2 linked regions of the Stegostoma tigrinum genome follow. The protein of the gene in region 2 interacts with the protein of the main gene of each other region in a biochemical or structural test. Links are inferred from orthologs where the notes say so. Each region holds a gene or a part of one and is shown on either strand. Other genes may lie near its edges.

Region 1 (3,917 bases), on a different chromosome or scaffold from region 2:
GCTCTGCTGTTATATGTTCTCATCAGTGAGGGGAGCAGAGAAATTAAGGCAGCTGATGTCATGTCGACAGTTCTCAATAAAGAGATGAAATGCAGAGAAGATGACAGAAGGCTGGGTACTGAAGATCGGTGAAAGGGTCCATGGAACAAAGAGGAGGGGTCCTGTCCAGCGAAGTAGGCAAGGAGGCAAAGGCAATGATCAAAGAAGAGTTTGGCATCACATTGTGCAGTATGGTGGCTCAGTGGTTAACACTGCTGCCTCAGAGTCAGGAGCTGGGTTCAATTCCTCGGTGACTGTGCCTAAAGTCTGCACGTTGTCCTTGTGTCTGCATGGGTTTCCTCCCAAGTTCAAGGATGTGCAGGTAGGTTATGTGGATCAGCAATGCTGAATTGGCCCATAGTGCCTAGGGATGTGTGGACTGACCATGGGAATTGCAAGGTTACAGGTACAGGGTGGGTCTGAGCAGGAAGTTCTGAGGAGGTTCAACTGGCCAAATGGCCTGCTCCCACACAACTAGCCCTGTTCATTATGCAATGCCAAATCTAAAAATGCATTTCCCCTAATTGGTTCCAATTTTGCAAAAGCAATTCCATGAAATCAGTCAGTGCATTGAGTACAGGGGTTGGGAGGTCATGTTGCAGCTGTATATGACATTAGTTCAGCCACTTCTGGAGTACTGAATGCAATTCCAGTCTTCCTGCTATAGGAAGGATGTTGTGAAGCTAGAGAGGGTTCAGAAAAGATTTACAAGGGCATTGGCACGGTTGGAGATTGAGCTGTGGGGACAGGATGAACAGGTTGGGACTATTTTCCCTGGAGCTTTGGAGGTTGACACCTTATAGAGATGTATAAAATCATGAGGGGTATGGATAGGGTAAATAGGCAAGGTATTTTCCCTGGGTGGTGTCTAAAACTAGTGGGCATAGTTTTAAGGTGAGAGGGGAAGAATAATAAAAGGGAGCTAAAGGGCAACTTTTTCATGAAGAGTGTGATGCACATATGGAATGAGCTGCCAGAGGAAATTATGGAGGCTGGTATGATTACATTTAATAGGCATCTGGATGGACATATTAATAGGAAGGGTTTAGAGGGATATGGGCCAAATGCTGGCAAATGGGGACTAGATTAGATTCCCTAGAGTATGGAAATAGGCCCTTTGGCCCAACAAGTCCTCACTGCCCCTTGAGGCATCTCACCCAGACCCATCCCCCTATAACTCACACACCCCTGAACACTACAGGCAATTTAGCAAGGCCAATCCACCTAGCCTGCACATCTTTGGCCTGTGGGAGGAAACTGGAACACCCAGAGGAAACCCACGCAGACACAGGGAGAATGTGCAAACTCCGCACAGACAGAGGCTGGAATCGAACCTGAGTCCCTGGGGCTGTGAGGCTGCAGTGCTAACCACTGAGCCACCCCAGATATAGGATATCTGGTTAGCATGGACGAGTTGGACCCAAGAGTCTCTTGCCATACTGTATATCTCTATGATTCTAGAACTGATCTTCAACCTCACCTTTGCTAATTTGATTGGTCCAATCTGCGTAGAAAATCAGAAAACAATAACCCGGAAATTGCTGGAAAAGCTCAGCAGGTCTGGCAGCATCTGTGAAGAAAAACCAGAGTTAATATTTCGGGTCCGGTGACCCTTACAACGAATACACCGCCTTTATCATAAACATCTTAATGCTCTCATGTCCATCTGCGACGACAGCATCCACGTGTAATCGGCCAATCAGTAAATTTACAAATAAATCACGCAACGATAATCAAAGCTTTTCAATTATAAATTTCCTGTTATCGCTGTGTGCAAAATACTGATCTCTTTAGCGAAAAAAAACACTTTTAGAAACATTTTAATATGTATGGCTTGTATTGTTGGTGTCAGTTTTAAAGCATTGATGTAAAGAGGGAATATTTTCAATAAAGAAATTAAATTCCCTTCCCTCTATAACGACGACCTGAACGAAATCACAATAACTGGCAACGTGAAGTGTGGGACTACAGGTACGCAGATTGCGCAAAATGCTATTCTTCCATTTTAACCCAAAACGGGAATTGCACCACTTCAAAGCAATTACTTTTTAAAATATCCAGAACCAGTCTCATATCACACGATTGGGGATCACAAAAATTTGGGACGAGAATTCTCGTTACGTTATCCAGCATGATGATGGTTGTGAAGTCTGACTATGACAACATATGAAAGAGGACAGGACAATGGCCGTTTGATTCGTTGGAAAATTTTAGCCTCATCGATCTTAAGCGCGTGGATGTGCATTACCGCAGCAGTATGATGCTGAAGATCAATCGGTAATCAACGAGCAATCCAACGGAGGCATAATTGCAGCCGCGTGAGCCACCCTTGCACTCGAGGCCAGCTCGCGATCTGTCAATCACCGTCCGCCTCATCATTTTAACTCCCACGTCACCATGGAGACCCCGCAACGCTCTAGAACACACACCCACCCCCCCCAAAAGAAAACGGCTTTCGTGCTTGAGGGAAGGAAGAAAGCGAGCAGCGCAGCCCACACCTTAGTGAGCACCTCCTTTTTTTCATCTTTCTCTTTGCGTTTCTCCCCTTCCTCTCTGTCTCTGAACTGGATCTCCACGCGCCGCTCGCGCCCCTTGTTCTCTTTCTCTTCTTTCATTCCGCACACTCTTCACTCCACCGCCTATCGCTCGCACACTCTGTCAACCTCTTGCTGTGCTCGCACTCGTGTTGACACATCTCGCGATGACGCGCACGCTCACAGGCCTCCTCCCACGTGATGCTCCCGGATGGGCTGACTCCGCCCTCTCCAACCGCCCAGCGGGGTGCGTGTTGAGGTGACTTGTTACTGTTTTTGACGGCATCTGCGTGGATTTCGCTGGTGTATCTAAGGGCTTGCAATATTGGAGCGATACTTTGTCTTCAAAGTCTCTACGTTTAAAGATGATCACAGAGATAATACATTTATCTATTGACTATGGAACCGATCCTTAAGTAGTATAGGATAAATTCCTGAATAATATCGTATTAAATTGATGACGTTGTAAAACCAGTTCAGTATGTATTGAGGAAAGTCCTGGCTGCCTCCAGGCTTGATAGATAAAGGTTGAAGATCTGGAAAAGGGCAGTGACAGCTACAATAGGATGGTGGCAATGAAATAATCTGAAAAACAGAGAGTATGCCTTGACTCAAAGGATCTAAATACAGATCTGATAAATTCTCACTACCCCACGCAAACCATTAAAGAAATTTTGTAACAACGTGAAAGGGCAATTTTATGTCACCACCCTAGATGTGAAGATGGGTTACTAGGAAATGAAGCTGAATTAAGACAGTAGCTTTCTTGCTACAATCTGAATGCGGACTGGGCTTTAGAAATAGTTGTACAGAAACAGAAAAACTCAGCAGGTCTGGCAGCATCTGTGGAGAGAGCAGAGTTAATATTTCCATAAGACCATAAGACATAGGAGTGGAAGTAAGGCCATTCGGCCCATCAAGTCCACTCCGCCATTTAAATCATGGCGGATGGGCATTTCAACACCACTTCCCTGCACTCTCCCTGTAGGCCTTGATTCCTTTTGAGATCAAGAATTTGTTGATCTCTGACTTGAAGGCATCCAACGTCCTGGCCTCCACTGCACTCTGCGGCAATGAATTCCACAAGGCCACCACTCTCTGGCTGAAGAAATGTCGTCTCATTTCAGTTTTAAATTTACCCCGTCTAATTTTAAGGCTGTGCCCATGGGTCCTAGTCAGGTCCCCAATGCTTCAGAACCCTTTAAAACCTGAGTCTTCCCACCAATTTCTATTTTTGCTTTTTATTTCCAGCATCTGCAGTTCTTTGGTTTTTCTGTTCAAATCATTCCATAGTTGTGATGGAGAAACACTCACAACGTTCATTCTGTTTTCTCTCCAATGACA
Region 2 (3,917 bases):
AAAGAACCAAATTTTGAAACCATTCCAGTTCTTGGATTTTTTCATCCTATAATAACAACACCTAAATATACTGTGGTTTTAAAAAGTCTCACAAAAAAAACTAGAGAATATTAACCAAGAATAGGACACACAGAAGTCAACAAGGTCTTGAGTGGAGGACTGGGAATAATTTCCATTGGTTGGTGAGTTTCAACATAAAAGCATCAATTTCAAGATCTTCACAAATAAAACAAAGGTGGTCAGGAGGACTACTTTAGACAGAGAATTATAAGGGAATAGAATGTTTGACCAGAAACAGTGCAGAACCCGAACCCATGCTGACATTTGAAAGAGATGGGGAAAGCATTTAAAGTACGCAAAGAAACTGAACAGTTGGCAAGCTCCTACAGTCAGCACAACTTGATGATTAGCCGTCCCAGCTTTATAAATTCTGAGACTCTAAAAACAAATGGGATTCTTCACATTTTTTAACCAACTATCAAGCCAGTGATGTTGTGCAAGGAAATACAAGGTCACAACTACCGCAGGTGTCAATTCCAGTTGAAAACAACTTCTGTTCTCTCAACTACTGTGGTATCAAATCCTACCTTATACCAGCGTATCCGTCAAGTCATAAGATTAGTCTCAGAAGGAACTGAGTAGGTAAAATGGCTGCCTCAGTGTAGCTCACCACAATTCTGCAAGGACAAGACATTATGTCACTTTTGTTTAATTCAAAGAAATTCATGCTCCAAAATCAAATTGTTATCCTACTTTAATAGAAAAATTAATGCATGGTTTCCTCAACACAAGTATCTTTTGAATACAAAATATTATAAGTAGACTAAAATAAATAGTAATACTAATTTGCTTAAGGAACAATGTATATAGCTCACCATATATATCTATCAACATTACATTTTCAATAAAATTTCCCATTATATTAGAATTTAAAAGTTAAAATCAGCTCATTTAAACATCCCTTATGTTTTTACTTCAAAATCCCATACCAGTCATAACATTACATTAAAACGATGGTGAAGAATACAAAGGCAAAGAAAACAAATCGCTGGAATAACTCAGGAGGTCCAGCATCGCAAAGAGAAAAACAGGGTTAACTTTTGAGTCTTGCGACCCTTGAAAGATTAACCTTGTTTTCTTTTCACAGATGCTCCCAAACCTTATCTCCAGCATTAGCAGTTCTGTATGTGATTTTAGTGAACAACACTCAATAGTTGGTTTCATTTGACACCTCTCCATTCTATAATAAACAGGAAACACAGGATGTGTTTATTACCTAAATATTTACTGCAAAATACTATAACATAAACAAGTTGCACTGGACCCAAAACCCAATACCAATGGCTTCAAAATGGGTCAGTTTCTGTTTAGAGACCATAAGCTTTGGAGCAGAATAAGGCCATTCAAATTGTGGGTGATATAAAAATGAAGGTGAGGGGGTCAGATATTGTGATCAGAAAATACGACATTTCCCCATACTTTTGAAAGTCCATTAACCACAGCATTGATTAAACACACTGTAGATGAGCAAAGGGCAATGGTATTACCCTGGAAAAATCTAGAATGAAGAGGAAGGAGTCAATATCAAAATAACTATTCAGGTTGAGTGTGATGGGATGCAGTGGGAAACTTAGAAATTGAGGGCAGGTCTTCCCAAATCCAGTGGATAGAGATTGGGAAGTGAGGGAGGGGAGAGGAGAAAGGGTAAAGGGGGCAAAAGAGGGCAAAGGGGGCAAAGGGGGCAAAGGGCAAAGAGGGCAAAGAGGGCAAGGGGGAAAAGAGGGCAAGGGGGCAAAGAGGGCAAGGGGGCAAAGAGGGCAAGGGGGCAAAGAGGGCAAGGGGGCAAAGAGGGCAAGGGGGCAAAGAGGGCAAGGGGGCAAAGAGGGCAAGGGGGCAAGGGGGCAAAGAGGGCAAGGGGGCAAGGGGGCAAAGAGGGCAAGGGGGCAAAGAGGGCAAGGGGGAAAAGAGGGCAAGGGGGAAAAGAGGGCAAGGGGGAAAAGAGGGCAAGGGGGAAAAGAGGGCAAGGAAAAGTGGAGAGGGGAGAGGAACCCCACGCACACCTGGAGCTGGGTGGTGGGTTGTTGGGGGGGGGGGGGAGAGACGGTGATTTGGTGAGAGCCCTGGCTCCGGGTGACGGATGGCACAGGCCCCGGGGGCCACAGCCACTGGCAGCGGAAAGTCACAGAGAGAGAGACAGAGAGAGATCGCACAGAGCCGGGTGTCCCGCTGCGGAAAGGCGCAGTTACCGGCTCCCGGAGGTGTCCCGGGTGATAGGGAACGGGCCAGGCTGCAGTTCGAAGCGGGCACACGGAGAGCCGACAGCGGCGGAACTGACACCAACCTCCGCCTCCCCTCCCCCCACCGCCCCAGTATCAGGACCCCGCCTGCACGGCCTGACCCGACAGCCGCCTGACCAGCACCTGCGCACGGTCACGACAAAAACATAGGCTGCTGCTCGTATCGCATCGAGGGGGGGCGGCAGCAGGATGTCAGGCTCACTGGCGATAGACAGCCGCCGCCGTTTGATTTCTCTCTCTATCTCTCTCCACGAGAGACAGGCGCTCAATAGGGCTAGAGGCGTCAGGGAAGCCCCCTGACTCCGCCCCCCCCCCCCAGCATCTGCCAGACGCGGGGGGGGCGCAGAGGAGGGCAATAGGGAGCGGGGGTAATAGACACCAGGGGGGCAATAGGGACTGGGGGCAATAGGGACCAGGGCAATAGGATGGGGGGGCAATAGGGACTGGGGGTAATAAAATAGGGGGGCAATTGGGACCAGGGCAATAAGATAGGGGGCATTAGGGACAGGGGGCATTAGACACCAGGGGGGCAATAGGGACCAGGGCAATAAGATAGGGGGCATTAGGGACTGGGGGCAATAGGGACCAGGGCAATAGGATGGGGGGGCAATAGGGACTGGGGGTAATAAAATAGGGGGGGCAATTGGGACCAGGGCAATAAGATAGGGGGCATTAGGGACAGGGGGCATTAGACACCAGGGGGGCAATAGGGACCAGGGCAATAAGATAGGGGGCATTAGGGACAGGGGGCATTAGACACCAGGGGGGCAATAGGGACCAGGGCAATAAGATAGGGGGCATTAGGGACAGGGGGCATTAGACACCAGGGGGGCAATAGGGACCAGGGCAATAAGATAGGGGGCATTAGGGACAGGGGGCAATAGACACCAGGGGGGCAATAGGGACCAGGGCAATAAGATAGGGGGCATTAGGGACAGGGGGCAATAGACACCAGGGGGGCAATAGGGACCAGGGCAATAAGATAGGGGGCATTAGGGACCAGGGCAATAAGATAGGGGGAACAATAGGACAGGGGGAATAGGGACCAGGGGTAATTCAATGGTGGGAATAGGAACCAGGAAGGGAATAAGATGGTGGGAATAGGATGGTGGGAATAGAATAGGGGTATATTGACCGGGGGGTGGGAATAGGATAGGGGGAGATAGGGACGGGGGCGTGGGAATAGGATAGGGGGGTGGGGGGAACAGGATAGGATAGGGGGTGGAAGGGAGGATGGAGATGGTGTGGGGGATGGAAGGGAGGGGTTGGAATGCGTGGACTGAGGGGAGGATGAGTATGGGAGGAAGATAAGACAATGCAGGGCAGATGGGTGGATAGGGGAGGGGCAGGTGAAGGGAGAGGATAGGATGAGATAGAAGGTAGATGGAGAAGATGAAGGGGAAGCAGGAAGGTTGGAGGGGAGGGGGAGATGGTGGGGGAGGGCTGTAAGTGATAAGGAAGATACAGGAGGTGGTAGGAGGATGAGGGGGTGTGTGTTATTGGGATGGTGGAATGGGAGGTAGTGCAGAAGGAGTGGAGTTGAGTGATAGGGAGGAGATTAGGAGGAGAGTGAGAGGTCTAGGATATTGTGAGGGGAAGTGGAGGAGAGAGTGTGTGGCT

The links.
Region 1: the proteins of upf2 (region 2) and upf3a form a complex in vitro, tested with the Homo sapiens proteins (2 studies listed by IntAct, with this or other methods). The link is inferred for Stegostoma tigrinum from reciprocal best matches to the Homo sapiens genes UPF2 and UPF3A.

The regions. Positions count from the first base shown.
Region 1 is NC_081359.1:66,907,695-66,911,611, forward strand, and holds the start of upf3a (regulator of nonsense transcripts 3A), read right to left. Parts: upstream 2,777-3,917; 5' UTR 2,655-2,776; coding exon 2,538-2,654; intron 2,401-2,537; exon of another isoform or gene 2,288-2,400; intron 1-2,287. UniProt on the Homo sapiens protein: Involved in nonsense-mediated decay (NMD) of mRNAs containing premature stop codons by associating with the nuclear exon junction complex (EJC) and serving as link between the EJC core and NMD machinery.
Region 2 is NC_081378.1:5,629,251-5,633,167, reverse strand, and holds the start of upf2 (regulator of nonsense transcripts 2), read right to left. Parts: upstream 2,557-3,917; 5' UTR 2,421-2,556; intron 2,365-2,420; exon of another isoform or gene 2,247-2,364; intron 678-2,246; 5' UTR 588-677; intron 1-587. UniProt on the Homo sapiens protein: Involved in nonsense-mediated decay (NMD) of mRNAs containing premature stop codons by associating with the nuclear exon junction complex (EJC).